Saccharomyces cerevisiae S288C: one gene and its partners. Changing the gene in region 2 together with the main gene of any one other region gives a genetic interaction. Each region holds a gene or a part of one and is shown on either strand. Other genes may lie near its edges. The genes, in order: DAP1, HEM2 and HEM13.

Evidence for each region.
Region 1: of HEM2 (region 2) and DAP1, extra expression of one rescues a mutant of the other (dosage rescue), as found in Saccharomyces cerevisiae (one study listed by BioGRID).
Region 3: of HEM2 (region 2) and HEM13, changing one enhances a phenotype caused by changing the other (phenotypic enhancement), as found in Saccharomyces cerevisiae (one study listed by BioGRID).

The regions. Positions count from the first base shown.
Region 1 is NC_001148.4:226,715-231,137, forward strand, and holds DAP1 (Dap1p), read left to right. Parts: upstream 1-1,599; coding exon 1,600-2,058; downstream 2,059-4,423. Other genes in the region: OYE3 (NADPH dehydrogenase), read right to left, coding at 1-657; MEX67 (Mex67p), read right to left, coding at 2,325-4,124.
Region 2 is NC_001139.9:418,171-423,532, forward strand, and holds HEM2 (porphobilinogen synthase HEM2), read right to left. Parts: upstream 2,386-5,362; coding exon 1,357-2,385; downstream 1-1,356. Other genes in the region: transcription elongation factor DST1, read left to right, coding at 1-242; YGL041C-B (uncharacterized protein), read right to left, coding at 534-716; DPC13 (Dpc13p), read left to right, coding at 655-1,119. UniProt on the Saccharomyces cerevisiae protein: Catalyzes an early step in the biosynthesis of tetrapyrroles. Binds two molecules of 5-aminolevulinate per subunit, each at a distinct site, and catalyzes their condensation to form porphobilinogen.
Region 3 is NC_001136.10:543,305-548,651, reverse strand, and holds HEM13 (coproporphyrinogen oxidase), read right to left. Parts: upstream 2,011-5,347; coding exon 1,024-2,010; downstream 1-1,023. Other genes in the region: DNA-directed RNA polymerase III core subunit RPC11, read left to right, coding at 342-674; transcriptional regulator NRG1, read left to right, coding at 5,283-5,347.

The DNA of each region.
Region 1 (4,423 bases), on a different chromosome or scaffold from region 2:
TTCGATCGTTCCGCCGTATTCGTCGGTCCTCTTATTAGAATGTGGATCCAAGAACTGATTCAACAAGTACCCATTGGCGCTATGAATTTCTACACCATCGGCGCCAGCCGCGATAGAATTCTTAGCCGCATGGATGTAATCCTTGATATACTGTTTAATGTCGTCTTTAGTCAAACTATGTTCGAGATTATTCGCATCTTTGGCCTTTTCTTGTAACGTAGCATTCATATACACTCTGTCAGATGCACAGTCATAGCGTAACCCGTCTCTTGCCAATACGTCTGGGAAGGATGCCCAGCCTAAAGACCAAAGTTGTACCCACGCGAACGACTGACAATCATGGATGGCTAAAAAGATATTCTTCCACTCAGCGACCTGCTCATCAGACCAAATCCCAGGGGCGTTGTCATAGCCGCCGGCTTGAGGGGAAATAAACGTACCTTCCGTGATGATCATGGTACCAGGTCTTTGAGCACGCTGACCATAATACACAGCAGCCCACTCCTTATTTGGAATATTTCCGGGGTGAGTGGCCCTCATTCTGGTCAATGGGGGCATAACCGCACGATGTGCAAGCTGAGTGTTACCAATCTTAATTGGTTCAAAAAGGTTTGTGTCTCTTAGGGAGATCGGCTCAAAACCTTTTACAAATGGCATCTTCTAAATTTAAACTTCGCTATACTGAACTACAGTTGTTGTATATATCAAGTACGTACTTTTTTGCATATGATGGGCAAGAATCAAGCACAGTTCACAACCCTTATATAGGTTCGAGTTGTCCTACTTACAACACTGTGCTTAGTAATGGTTATTGCGACTTTATCCTTGTTCTGAACGGAGTTATATCAGGAACGCAAACTGCTTACTAAGGAGCCCTTCTAAGGAGCCCTCCGCAAATAATAGGATCGGCAATTTCAGACGGAGGACGGAGCCGCCTAAGTGCCAAGAACATTAAAGAAGAAAGAAATAAACCTTGAGCGGCTACACGAAACAGTGGTCAAGAGTAGAATCTCTGAAACGTCGAACCCTCTTTGTCAGTTATCGCGGGCATATTCTGAGAAGAAGCAATATACAACAAACGAGCAGGACAGATTAAAATTTTCAAGGCGAGGTAAGCTGTGCCAGATCAGTGTGGGACGACGCTCAGTAGTTGGCGATCGAAGCACGTGATCAGTTTTCCACATCCGTGATTTGGCGCAAATTACCATGTGAGCGTGCGGGAATAAGCTCCTTTATTTGCGGAGCGACAAAGGAAACGAGACCATATTACCCTACCTTCCTTGTTTTATTTTACTTTTTTTTCTAATTTTAATTTTCTTCGTTCCTTCAACTGTATGTACCCTTTTTCTACCGGAAATAAGACGGTCGTAGTGTCCGCGTTTTTGGTTCTTTAACGACAAGACATCAGTGCCTTCTCGCATTTTTGTTGAATTGTATTGTATTATGCTCGATGTTTCCAGAACGATATATACATCTGAGAGTTTATATATCAACGATCATTTTCTTGTTGCAGTAAGCTATAATAGACGCGTCAAATAGTCTAACCAGTCTAAATCTCATCAGCCACACACACGTACATCGGAATATTATAGAGAACAAATGTCCTTCATTAAAAACTTGTTATTTGGAGGTGTTAAAACAAGTGAGGATCCAACCGGGCTCACAGGTAACGGGGCCTCAAACACAAACGATTCTAATAAAGGTAGTGAACCGGTAGTAGCGGGTAATTTCTTTCCTAGGACGCTTTCCAAATTTAACGGCCACGACGATGAAAAAATATTTATTGCTATTAGGGGCAAAGTATACGACTGCACAAGAGGGAGGCAGTTTTACGGTCCAAGCGGGCCATACACTAACTTTGCAGGCCATGATGCGTCGCGTGGTCTTGCATTGAACTCCTTCGATCTGGACGTTATTAAAGATTGGGATCAGCCTATCGATCCCTTAGATGATCTGACAAAAGAACAGATTGACGCACTGGATGAGTGGCAAGAGCATTTTGAGAATAAGTACCCATGCATTGGTACTCTGATTCCGGAGCCTGGCGTGAACGTATGACGATTGAGCTCCGCACATTATTTATTAATAGCAAACACCAAGGAAAGGGAAAAAGGAAGGGGCGTGGTGGACGATGATATATGTATACATATACATATCTATATTTTGAAAAAATCTTCTATATAACGGTTGTATAGAAATAATTACTTATTTATGAATTAGTACAAAATATACAAAGCATGCTGCTGTTCGGAACGTGACGAAAACAGTAGCTTAAACTGTATATTTTTTGTGATACTGTGCGGCTGAAACAGGGAACAATATCATTAGAACTGCACAAATGCTTCTCTAGGGATGCCATTCATGCTACTCTGAAAACCCTTTATGGCAACTTCATAGTTCCAGTTACTTTGCTCGGCCAACATAAACGTGTATTCTGCATTCAATTTCGTTTCCAAATGTAGTTTATTCAGCAGCTCGAGTTGTACGGGATTTAGCCGCGACTGGACATCTGGAGGTAGTTGCAAAGTGGGAGCCATGACCATGGCTCCTTGGGGTGCGCCGGGAATGCTCATCCCTCCTGGTACCACTGAAGGTTGTGGCTGCGGTGGTGTCGTTATATTTGGGTTCATGCTTGCGACCTGTGGTAGGACCGAGGCCTGTTGCTGTGGAGGCTGTGCTATTGCAATAGATGCAGTTTTCCAAGCGCCTGTGGAATACGCTCTTACAGTTAACAGATCAGATGCGATTATGACACTATTATTCATTGGAACAATTACCCAGGTTCTATCAAAGGATTTTTTGGATAACTTATTATTTGATGTGGAGTTGTAACCATGATTGTATCTTCTATTCTTTTGATAGTTATTTTTCCCCGTTTTTTTATTGGATTCCAGTTCAGGCTTGCCAGTCTCTTCAAAAAATCCGTGCAACGTAATAACGAACCCATTTATTTGAGGATAACTAATTGTTTCCATTGAGTATTCATTGGGTTGTTCTTGTAAATGGTGCTTTGTTTTCGGCAAAGTCTTGAATATACTATTAATGGACTCTTGCCCGATTGACAATCTCTGCTGGATAGATTTTTCACTGGACACTTTGGATATATTACGTGAGGACGACATGTAATAACCAAATGCTGGAGTTTGGTCCGAATCTGTTACCGTAGATGGAGGAATAGTAGAATCCACGGAAACAGAAAACTGGGATTGGGGCGAATACAAATTTAACAGTTGTTCTCTATTATTATCCCATAGATTCAAAAAGTTAGTTGCAAAGTCTGTAGATGATTGCCCTAATGCATCGTTTTCGAAAAAAAACTGTTGAATCTTCATCGGTAATGAGTAAACGGTTTGCAATTTTTGTTCGTCTCTCACAATCACGTTATCTAGTACAACCAATTTCGGAAATAATCTTAACATTTCAGTGCGATACAACTTATCGGTGGTTATCGGGTTATTTGTCATCAAAAGCTCTCTTAGATCTTTGAATTTGTTCTTCCAAACTTCTAGCGATCTAAATCTAAAAATCTGATTGTTGGCCAGACAGAGGTTTTTCAAATTAGGAAATGTTTGAGCCAATGTGGAAATTGCTGAGATGTCCTTAAGTTGGTTGTCAGCAAGATTGACACTTTCCACTATCAAACTTTTTTCTGTAGAAGCCAGTTTCATCATTGCTGGAAACATCTTAGACTGGGTGGAGATGGAACTAAAGACGCCCTTTTGAATTAGCTCGGGATCTGAATGTAAAGCGCCCAAATTTAGTAATTTTGTTTGTGGGTCATACCTCTTAAGGAGCACCCCCCTCAAGAACGAAATGGTGTCTGAAGTTCCCGCAGAGGCCCCATTGTTATCTAAAAGTTCGAACTTTAAATTACTGCCTGCAAACCGGACACCGTTCCATTTCATTAACGATTCTGCTTCTGCCTTTGAGTTGACATATCCAATAACTAAAGGTCCTTCCACATGAGCGTCATAAACAGCTACTCGAGCGTTGCGGCTTATAAAATTAATCAAATCGTTCATGGTTGCATTCTGCCAGTTCCTCACGCTAATCTTTATTCTATTTTGTTGCATCTGCTGTTGAGCCATCATATTGATATTTCCAACATTGTGAAATCCGCTCATTTTTTTTGCTGCTATTAGCGATGCAGAATTTTTAACGATTTATTTTACTCTTCCTTCTTAGAGTAAGTATGTCTTCAACAGTCTGTTACTATTTTTTTTTCTACATACTCAATTCAGCTCTTACTGAAATTTTCTTCTGGAAAAAAAAGGAAGACGGGTAATGATGATCTTATATAACAGTATAATCTGTAGGTATATTTATCGTTAGAATCCTCTACGAAAGGCAAGTGGGCATGGATTTCTAGCTTTTGAAGCCGCGTTTAAGTTTCTTCAGAATTAATATTCGTAGAAATTTTCTG
Region 2 (5,362 bases):
CATGCGATGCCAAGGATCTGGCACCAGCGCCCTTAAAGCAAAAGATAGAAGAAATTGCCAAGCAAAACTTATACAACGCACAGGGTGCCACCATAGAAAGGTCAGTCACCGATAGATTTACATGTGGTAAATGTAAAGAGAAGAAGGTATCTTACTATCAATTGCAAACAAGATCTGCGGATGAACCATTGACCACTTTCTGTACATGTGAAGCATGTGGTAACAGATGGAAATTCTCTTAGAATAGAAAAAGATGAGAGTAGCCACGGACAGAGCAAAGGAAACAATAGGAGGAAGGGACAGAAAAGCCTGTTCTGACTCTATTCGTAGTAGTATTTGACAGCCGGAATCCAGGAAAAGAAAAAGCCAAACATACAACCATATCCAATTTGTTGAAATGGCATATTCATATACGATGTACATATATACATATACTGCTGGTGTTAATTTTTTTTGTCTGTCTCACGTAAAATCTTTTGTTCGTCCAGTTACTTTTAATTATTTATGATTTTCATGTTTTCTTTATTAATCTTCTATGCATTAAATATGGCTCGGTCAGAACTAAAGAAATACAATTTAAGATGTAACAAAACCGACGAATAAAAAGTTAGAATAAACACAAGAAGCAGAAAGTAGATACTACAGCCACACATAATGCTAAGAGTTATATGGAAGCATAGTTCCAGAGTCACTCGTTCGATAGAACTATCGAACATTTCTACCACTAATCACACCAGGAGTTTAAGGAGGCTTTCCTGGATTTCTCCGAGAAGATTTTACGCTCAATCTTGGGACGACAGACAGCCTAATGACAAAATAGATGCACACATAAAGGTGCAGAAACTCATGGATCAAATAAATTCGAGGCCTAATGTTCTGGAAAAGTTAGAAAAGGTTAGCAATATCATGATCGAAAAAAAATTGGTTAATCTAGATGGGACTTCTGCCAATGAAGAAAATACGATGAAACCATGGCAAATGATTAAGATCTTAATGGACAGAGATCTGAGACACGCTATGAAGGAATTTAAATTGGAATTGGAAAAATCTGGCATACAGTTAGGACCTGAACAACTGGCCCCGCTAATGACCGTTTTAGGCCTTGAGAAGAAAAAATGAGAGGTGAAAGTAAAAAAACATTACCTATCTGTCTTACTAGCGCCTTCCGTGTATAAATATTACGTACTACTACATAAATACTCATTAGGAGGATTACATAATTTCCATTGTATCGTATACTAGGTCGCATCTTTGCATATTATAAAGCTTGCCAAATAGGGATATACTGCCAGCACTGTTACATTTGTCATATTGACATCATTATTTTTACTATTCACAAGGTAAGCACGTTTTTTTTTAGTTTTCTTCATCTAACCAGTCTAGGAACTCAGGAGCCAAATAAGTGATGATTAATCTGGCACCCGCCCTCAAGAAACCTTGATGAGATTCAAAGGCAATTGTCTTCAAATCAACAACACCTTTTTCAGCTGCAGCATGTAACATTGCGTATTCGCCCGACACGTGATATGCGCAGATTGGTAAGTCTTTACAAATTTCACTTGCATCCCTCATTATATCTAAGTAGAAAGTGGAAGGCTTAACAATAATACCGTCGGCACCTTCACTCATATCCCTTTCCAACGCCCTACGTGCCAGGCCACGACCGGCAGGAGGTAATTGGTAACATTTCCTATCACCATTCGAAGGAGCTGAACAAGCAGCATCACGGAATGGCCCATATAGATTACCGCTAAACTTAGCTGCATAGGATAACACGAAGGTCTTGTGAGCCAAGTTTGCATTTATTAAGCCTCGTTTAATATCTCTGATCCTACCATCGATCATATCACTGGGAGCCACACAGTGCGCACCAGCTTTAGCGTAGTTAACTGCCACAGCTGCTAATCTAGAGACACTACGTTCTCTATTAATAGTACCATCATCGTATAGAACCCCGCAATGGCCATGAGAAGTGTATTCACAGAGACAGACATCGCAAATAATATACAGTTCAGGGAAATACTCACGAATGAATTTAATACCTTGAATGACTGGCCCTGCAGGATCGTCAGCCGCTGTACCCACTGGATCCTTGGTACCAGGGATGAGAGGCACACCAAACAAGATCACAGAACGCAAACCCTTGGCCACTAATGGCTTTAAGTAGTCTTTTAGCCTATTTACACCGATTCTATTGATATTAGGTAGAGAGTCAATTTCAGTAAAGTCATCTGGATTATCGGAGATGAATAGCGGAAAAATCAACATGTTCTTAGTCAGTTGACGCTCACTTTGCCACTGTCTCAGCAGTGGGTGATTATAACCACCTGCTAGAACAGATGAGATTTCTGTTGGTTCTGTTTCCAAAAATTCAGCTGTATGCATGGTTTTGTCAATTTTCTAGGTATGAATTACTGGAGTAAGCAATAATATGAGTAAGCAGTAAAACTTTTTTTTATTTGGCTGATTGGGCAAGAAAATCAAAGACAATAGAGTGGCGCATAGATGTTGCTAGCATTTATTAGGTTGCCTTACTCTTATATAAATCAAGCGGGAAGCTTGCCTCAAGCCAATCACCGCACCGAACAGGGATTGCTCGTTTACCCGTATTTTGATTTTTTTTTCACCTTTTCCAATTTTTTTTTCGGCAACAATTTTTTGGATGATTTTTATCGTCGATCTTGGAATGATGATGTATTTCGGCGTCTCTACAAGACCCAATAAAGTAATTCGGTGACACAGGCTTGTAGCAGATAGAAAACGTTCCGAAAGATGGGTTCCAATTGATGTAACACTTCTTTTTTATATATTCATGTGGACGTGTACGCCTTCTTCCCTTCTTTGCCTCTTGTGCCACTGTTAATCCTCTTAAGCATATTGTTTTTATTTACAGACATTGGCTGACTCACCAGAAACTATAATTGACGCTGATTTCTAGTTAATTAAAAATAAAATATATGCAAGAATTAGCACCAGGCAGTCATTTCTGTAAATTGCTTTGTTTTCTATTTCAAATTTGTTTTTTGTATATGTTTCAATGTTCTCGTGACAATGCAGGCTTTTTTTTGTGCGAATTAAAGTAAAGCTAATCAAAACTAAACAATAATTTATCTTGTTCCCGAAAGAGTGGATCATGAGGAGGAAAGCTAACCGTCCAAGATCCTATATAATTTTTGAACTGAAAACCAACTGTTCACCTAGAAGACAGGTATCTGGATATGTAACTACACGCTCTATAAATACAGAAATCGTAAGCTAATCAATATAAATGTAAAAGAAAATAGGAATTGCTGTCGATAGATTTATTTACTTTTGTATTGTCATCTGTGTTCTGTGCCAGTACACCGGACTCGTATGAGCTGTATGGTGTCGTTTCAATAGAATCTACTGTAATAATCACACAGATTAGAAATTATTTTCAAGATTAAATATGACAATACACCTTGGAATAAAAACACAGGATCTAATAGTGGCCCAAAATGAAGCTCGACGTGAAAATAATAGAGCCGTGATTTTAATTTCATGATTGGAAGACGTTTTCAAGGATGGTTAGACTTTGGGTCTGAAAGCACTGTCTCGTAGTCCATATATAAAGAAAATCTTATGGGAAACTGGTTACATTCTAATGATTTTAGCAACAAGTTGCAGCTAAGAGTTTGAATATCTGAACGAAGTTGTCGGTACTTCTGCCACTATCAGTATAAATAATTGCCGCCGTTCCATGATATGGAGAGCATGGCAAGGTTTACTCTGATCTTGGCCATTCTTCATTAATTTGTCGTGTGAAATGCGCAGTAATCAACCAATTTTCTGTCAGCGGTATTTGAAGCCCTAAGATGACACAAATGAGAAAGCGTTTTCTCAACTAGTAATGCCAAATTCCTCCCTTCTATAAAAAGCCCCTAACTCCGCTGCATTCAATTGCATTTTTCATTAAAAGAATACCTTGAATAAAACCATGCGGGAACATATAGATATATAAAGCAGAACATTTTTGCTCAAGAACAGAAAGTTCCAATGGTTATCTATAGGTTCCGTTTCAGCTTTACGTACCTCCCAGTCAAGGTACGATTCAAAGCCTTTTAATTTTTTATCCCAAATAGAGCACGATGTCGCAATCTTCTGAGTGTTAAACTGTCGCCAAATCTGTATTTGGGTATAGCCATTTCTTCCAAAATTGCTAGGAATGGCCTTATAAGCTATATTGTGCTTGTGCTTGCGTTTGCGTTTGCATTTTTTTTTTTGTTATTTTATTACTTCGTCACAAGGGGTACAAGAGAACTCTTATCCAACTGACCACAGCTTTGTCACTAATTTCTCTCCAGAGGGGAATGTCCCTTTGAGATTATCGAACAGGAATGATTGGATCTATTGCACTAAAATGACCCAAAAACGCTCTAGTCCATGCTGCATCCTATCTTCCATCAATACAGAAAATAACAGAAGGTTCATCAGCTCATATATAGAGAAGAAAGAAAAGAAAGAAAAAAAACTCTGTGTAGTGTAATACAACTGACTAACGCACCCACCGAAAGAGGGTCCACGAGGAATAGACAGTGCATTATACAGAACGTGCTGAAAATGTAGAACCTTCCTTGTGAATTTTACTCCTTGTACTTCCTGAGATAATATATGACCTTCTGAAAGGTAAAAGAGCGACCTTGATCCTGCAAATTTAGCGAATATTTGAATCGATTTTCATATTTTTTCTATATTAAAGCCCAACTACTGGGACCGAATATTTTCCCCTACAAAGGCTAGAAGACGGTGAAGCCTTCTTGTAATTTTTATTTCGTTTTAGTTTAGTTACAAAGTGCTTTTGCCATTGCATAGACGAGCAGCTTATCCCATAATGAATAAATTCTATTCAAACTAATAATAACTAATAGTTGCTATAGTCACACCTTTTCAACAGATAAGTGGTTGTTTGGCCGAGCGGTCTAAGGCGCCTGATTCAAGAAATATCTTGACCGCAGTTAACTGTGGGAATACTCAGGTATCGTAAGATGCAAGAGTTCGAATCTCTTAGCAACCATTATTTTTTTCCATTTAAAATGATCTTTTTACCGACCAGGCGTCACTAACCACGAAAACATAGTTTAAGGTATTTTCCGTTTTAGGCGCAATGAATATACTGCAACGTGCCTATTGAATCCTATTCGAAATCACCTCCAAAGTTATGTTGCCGATTAGGCAAATACTCTAAAAGTATAGTACTAAAGAACTACGTAAAGGTAAAATAAAACACCTGAATTTCATTTCTGAAATGAAGTACCATCATGAAATATGATGAAAGTCAAGACTCGTTGGGTCAATATACACCACAAAAAAAGGTACACACGAATGGTTTAACCCTTTCGGT
Region 3 (5,347 bases), on a different chromosome or scaffold from region 2:
ATTTTGTGTTGCTCATGTCATAGCATTCAACTACAGATGAAGGTTTTTAGCGCCACTCCCATTAACATTTTCAAATCCGAGTATTGAAAAAAAAAAAAAAAAAAACTAGAGCAAGTGAACGAACGGGAAAATAAAAAAATGGCAGATGAAATTTTTGGACATCTATTATTACATGGCAAGATGATCGATATAAAATTCAAATCCAGTTCAAAAGAACAGTAGGAAAAGTTTTATCCAAAAGCATAACCGAGAATCTTCTTTCTGGAAAACGCATACGTTATATGGCTATATAAGCAAAAGAGTTCGCATTCATTGGTAAAACGTAAAATACATAATTTAGGATGCTTTCGTTTTGTCCTTCGTGTAACAATATGCTACTGATAACGAGTGGCGATAGTGGTGTATATACATTAGCATGCCGTTCATGTCCATATGAGTTTCCTATAGAGGGTATAGAAATCTATGATAGGAAGAAACTTCCAAGAAAGGAAGTTGATGATGTTCTTGGTGGTGGTTGGGACAATGTGGATCAAACCAAAACCCAATGTCCCAATTATGATACTTGTGGTGGTGAGAGTGCTTACTTTTTCCAACTACAAATTAGGTCAGCTGATGAGCCGATGACTACCTTTTATAAGTGTGTAAACTGTGGTCATAGATGGAAGGAAAATTAAGAAGTCCTTGAATATAAGATGAATTTTCTAAGAATAAAAAGAGTAATAAAAACATCTTAAAATTTGATTAGAAGGCATGATCGCATATTGAGAATGAAGGCTGCTGCCATATTTTTAGAGCAATAGATACTGATATAATTTTTGATCCTGCACGTACTGTGAACTTGCATCATAAATAGGACGCAATAATTAATATTTTTAAGAATAGAGATCCTGTATCAATTGAATTTGAAGAATTATGTAAAGGAGGTATAATAAATAGATAAAAAAATGTATAAATAAGTGGTCGAAATAATTAAATCATCATTGTCATTGAGATCATAAAATCGGTCTGCTAAAGAACCTTGAATTATTTAACCCACTCTCTTGGTTTGGTGGTAACTTCTAGTAATTTAGCTTCTCTGGAACCAGGAGCAGGGTGGTGGTTGTATAACCATGAAGCATGTTCAGGCAAACTCATCAAAATTGACTCAACTCTAGAGCCTGGGGTTCTCAAACCGAATTGGGTACCTCTATCGTAGATTAAGTTGAATTCAACGTATCTACCACGTCTAATGGCCTGCCATTGTTGTTCTTCCTTTGTATATGGCATATCTTTTCTTCTCTTGACGATAGTCAAGTAGGATGGCAAGAAAGCATCGAAACAGTCTTCAACCATCTTCAATATTTCTTGTGGGTCACGTTCATCATAATCGTCAAAGAATATACCACCAATACCACGTGTTTCCTTACGGTGGGTAATGTAGAAGTACTCATCACACCATTTCTTGAAACGTGGGTACAAAGCAGTGTCGTGCTTGTCCAAGGCATCCTTGTGCAGTTGGTGGAATAATTGACCGTCTTCTTCGTATAAGTAAGAAGGTGTCAAATCAGCACCACCACCAAACCACCAAGTTTGTGGGGTCCCATCTTGGTTCCAAGTTTCGAAGTAACGGTAGTTTAAGTGCGTGGTTGGAGCGTGTGGGTTAACGGGATGAATGACCATACTTAAACCACAAGCGAAGAACTTGACACCGTCGGTAACTGGCAAACCAGTCTTTGGATCTTCTGGTAGACGCAGATTCTTATGATCAGCTTTCATGGCTGAAACGGCCGCTGGGCTCAATTGACCATAAACAACGGAGACATTAACACCACCTTTTTCGAAAGTTGTACCGTCTTGGATAACCATAGAGGTACCACCACCACCATCGTTACCACGGGTCCAAGTATCAGCGTGGAACTTAACAGTATCGATGGATTCCAAACCTTGCGTGATTTCAGCTTGTTTGCGACGGATAAGAGCTTCCATTTGTTGTCTAATTGGAAGATTCCTTGGATCTTGAGGGGCAGGCATCTTTATGTGTATTTAATTGTGTTCGAAGAGTTCGGTTTGCTATGTTTGATTTGCGAAAAGAAAGCTTTTGATATGCTCAAAAAAAGAAAACCCGGAGAATAAAAGCTTAACAAAGAAAGACAATAGGTGGAAAAAAAAAGGAAAATCCGTGTCCTTATATAGCCTTTCGAAACGAGAACAATGGGCAAAGCAAGCTTTATCTTCGGATCGTCCGTCAGCGCTTTGGTTGCAGTCTTATGCTTTGTTCAAGCTGGAGCGTTATTGGTGGGAGAACCAGAAAAGGCGAAAGCGTAGCGTTCTTTGAAATTTGGCTTCTGTTCCTGCGACTCGTTTAAAAGTAGAAGGGCCCGCGGAGCCGCTGTGAAAGATTTCTTTTACTCTTTCAGCGCAGAAATCTCGCAGGAGCTCAGCAGAAAGTGCCTATGACGGTAATCCCAGGGGCTAATGGTGTGAAGGCACTTTCTAAACAATTGAAATTAAAATACCGTGCCTATAGTAACTTTTTTTTACGCTGTGAACCGTTCAACACACAGTAAAAACTCCGCAGGAAATGGTTTGAAGAATCTTAATCACGAATTAGGCGTATTGTTTTTCCCAACAGTGAACGAGAGGACAAACTCCAGAGGATTTGCGGGCTTGATGATAAAATGTATTGTTGAAAAGATCGCGAATGCAACAATTACGGTGGGGAGAAATATCAACAAAAGGGCAAGGCTATGCCTTCTGGAAAGTGGCAGACTTGCACTTTCCTCGAAAAGAAAAATGACCGCAAGATCCGGTTGTTCTCAACCTTCTACATTAAGACATACTTCTACGATTTTCGAATGCCGAAGCAACTATCGCTGAAATTTGTCATGTCAAAATTGCTACTGGGGGAGAAGAATATATATGGAAGTAATTATTATTTACGTTGCTGAAATGGCAGGTTAGACGCATGTTTTGCAAAATAAGTGGTTTTGAAAAGAATTGATACTAGGAATCGGTGCAATACCTTCTACCTTTCTTAATAGGTATTCTTGAATAATCTACCTCACTTTCTGTCCCAGATACGAGATGTCGAGCGCCTCGAAAATAGATATCGTTTATTACGTTAGATACGGAAAGGTCTACGTGTCATAATAAATTGCATCTGGATTGCGATTTTGGGTCATGCCTAACTGGGAAAATATTTACATCTCCATGTTCTCATTCTGCCTTTGCTTTCCTTCAAAACATGGTTTTCAATTCAACCTAGGGTCTACCGCGGAACCATATGTACGCCGTAAATGCGAGTGTTCTTGAAAGGTAGTAATGTGTTCCCTCTCAATATGTAAGTCCTTCAAGAGTATGCACTTGCAGTTGCACTGTTTCGGGTAATTATCCGTCATTAAGAAAAAGATGCTTCCACTTTCTCGTGTTTTTACGCACAATCGTGCCATTTAACCGGAAATAGACTCCATTGCATTGATTGCTCTCATAAAAATTATAGCCCGCGTTTGATACTTGTTTAAAATAGGTGTCGACAAAGTTAGTTTCTGTCTTCCATTTAGTTTTTACAATATGACACGTCAAATAAATCTTTTCGATTTAGTTAAAAGAGTTACCTGGCGATAGCCTTCTGGTAAAACACCTATTCATAAAACAATCTTAAAAAACCAAAAAATTACCAAACAACTATGTAGGACATATTTTTACAGTTCATAAAAACGCTTCGAGCTGCCGATATCGGTATCAAACACCAAAATATACATAGTGCTGGTTTAAGCCAGAATATCTTGGTGAAGCTGCGCCTATATGCCTTGTATTTAAAACAAGTCACGAAAAGCTATTGCCAAAGGAACATAAAAACTCGTATCTATGTTATATTATAAAAAAGATATAATATTTATATATTATTATTAATATTATTTTTTAGTTCCGAAAGGAGAAACTTATAATTTTTATATCATTATTTATTATTATTTTTAATTTCAACTCCTTTTATACCTATTACTGCATGTGGAGAAAAGATTAAACCAGGCGAGGCAATTTACACTTATTCATTGAGATAAGATGAAAGAGCCACGCCTCGTTACATTTAGGCTACATCATATAACAACTAGTCCCAGCCTCCCCCCTTCCCCACCTTGGAGTACTTTTCTCCAGAAATAGAAAGCTAAGAATCAAAATCGCACCATTACGTATGAGCTCATTTGCCGTCTTTTCCCCGACAATCCGGCACAAAATCTGGCTACCCGTCGTATGTATGGTAGACGATATTATGTACTCTAGTAATGCTATGTACGAATAGTTTCAGACGGGCACAGGGACCTAGAACGCCAAGCGCAAAAAAAAGCTGATAGGAATTCGACGTCACGAACCCTTGGAGTAAAAGAAAACTAAAATATACGAACTTCGCGGAAAATAAAAAACTTTTCCTTCAGTTGTTCCTCGTTCGAAACAGTAATCTACACGGACCGTTGCTTATTTTTAGCCAGATTCTAGTTAAATAAAAAAAAAAGAAATAAAATTAAAAAAAAATTAAACTGTGGCAGATAAGCCTTTCTAATCGAGGCAGTGTGTTTCTTTTGACTTCACCGTTTGTCTTCGCATAGTTCCCCTAAATATTCTAACTAGAAAAATCGCTAGTATTTTTCTACTTATAAGTTGATTTTCCGCATATTTGTCTTTGAAACGTTTGAGACAGGGAAAACTCTGTTTTCTAAAAGAGGAAAAAGCAAAATGAAGTATTGGCTTGGTTGCGGTCAACACCCTCAGGGAAAGCCAAGAAATGCTTTTTACTGTTTAGCAGTGAAAAGGCCGCACCGGAAAAGAAGGGAAAAATTCATTGGGTCTAGATTTTTCTTATCGGTAAAAGACTATGGCCTCTTGAGGACCCTTAAGCGTGAAACGAAACGCGTTGAGCGCGCAGAGGGGCTTCGCCGCCGGTCAGGGTGTTTGGGGTGTTTTTTCTTTTAATTATTCTCTTGGCAGTGTCATCTTTCTACAGTCTGGCTGCAGGCTCCTTTTCCGTTATTCATATATAAGGAAGAGAACTTTCCAAACCCAAATTAAAAAAAATTTGGTTCCCATCTCTTAACTAAAAGAAATTATATTACTCCACCTCGTTTACAGTTTTTTGATGCTATAAGGGAATTCTGCAGCTTTTGAAAGTAAAAATCATATCGTATACGATTCTGCAAAGTATTATTGTACTGTAATTCCTACCATTACGGCGCCTTTTTCTACCATTCACCTTTCTTGGATTGTTCCTCTCGACCAGCATATTACTACCCTTCGCAAACTTTCAGGCAATGTTTTACCCATATAACTATAGTAACCTCAATGTTTCTACTATGCCCGCACTGCCGGGAATCTC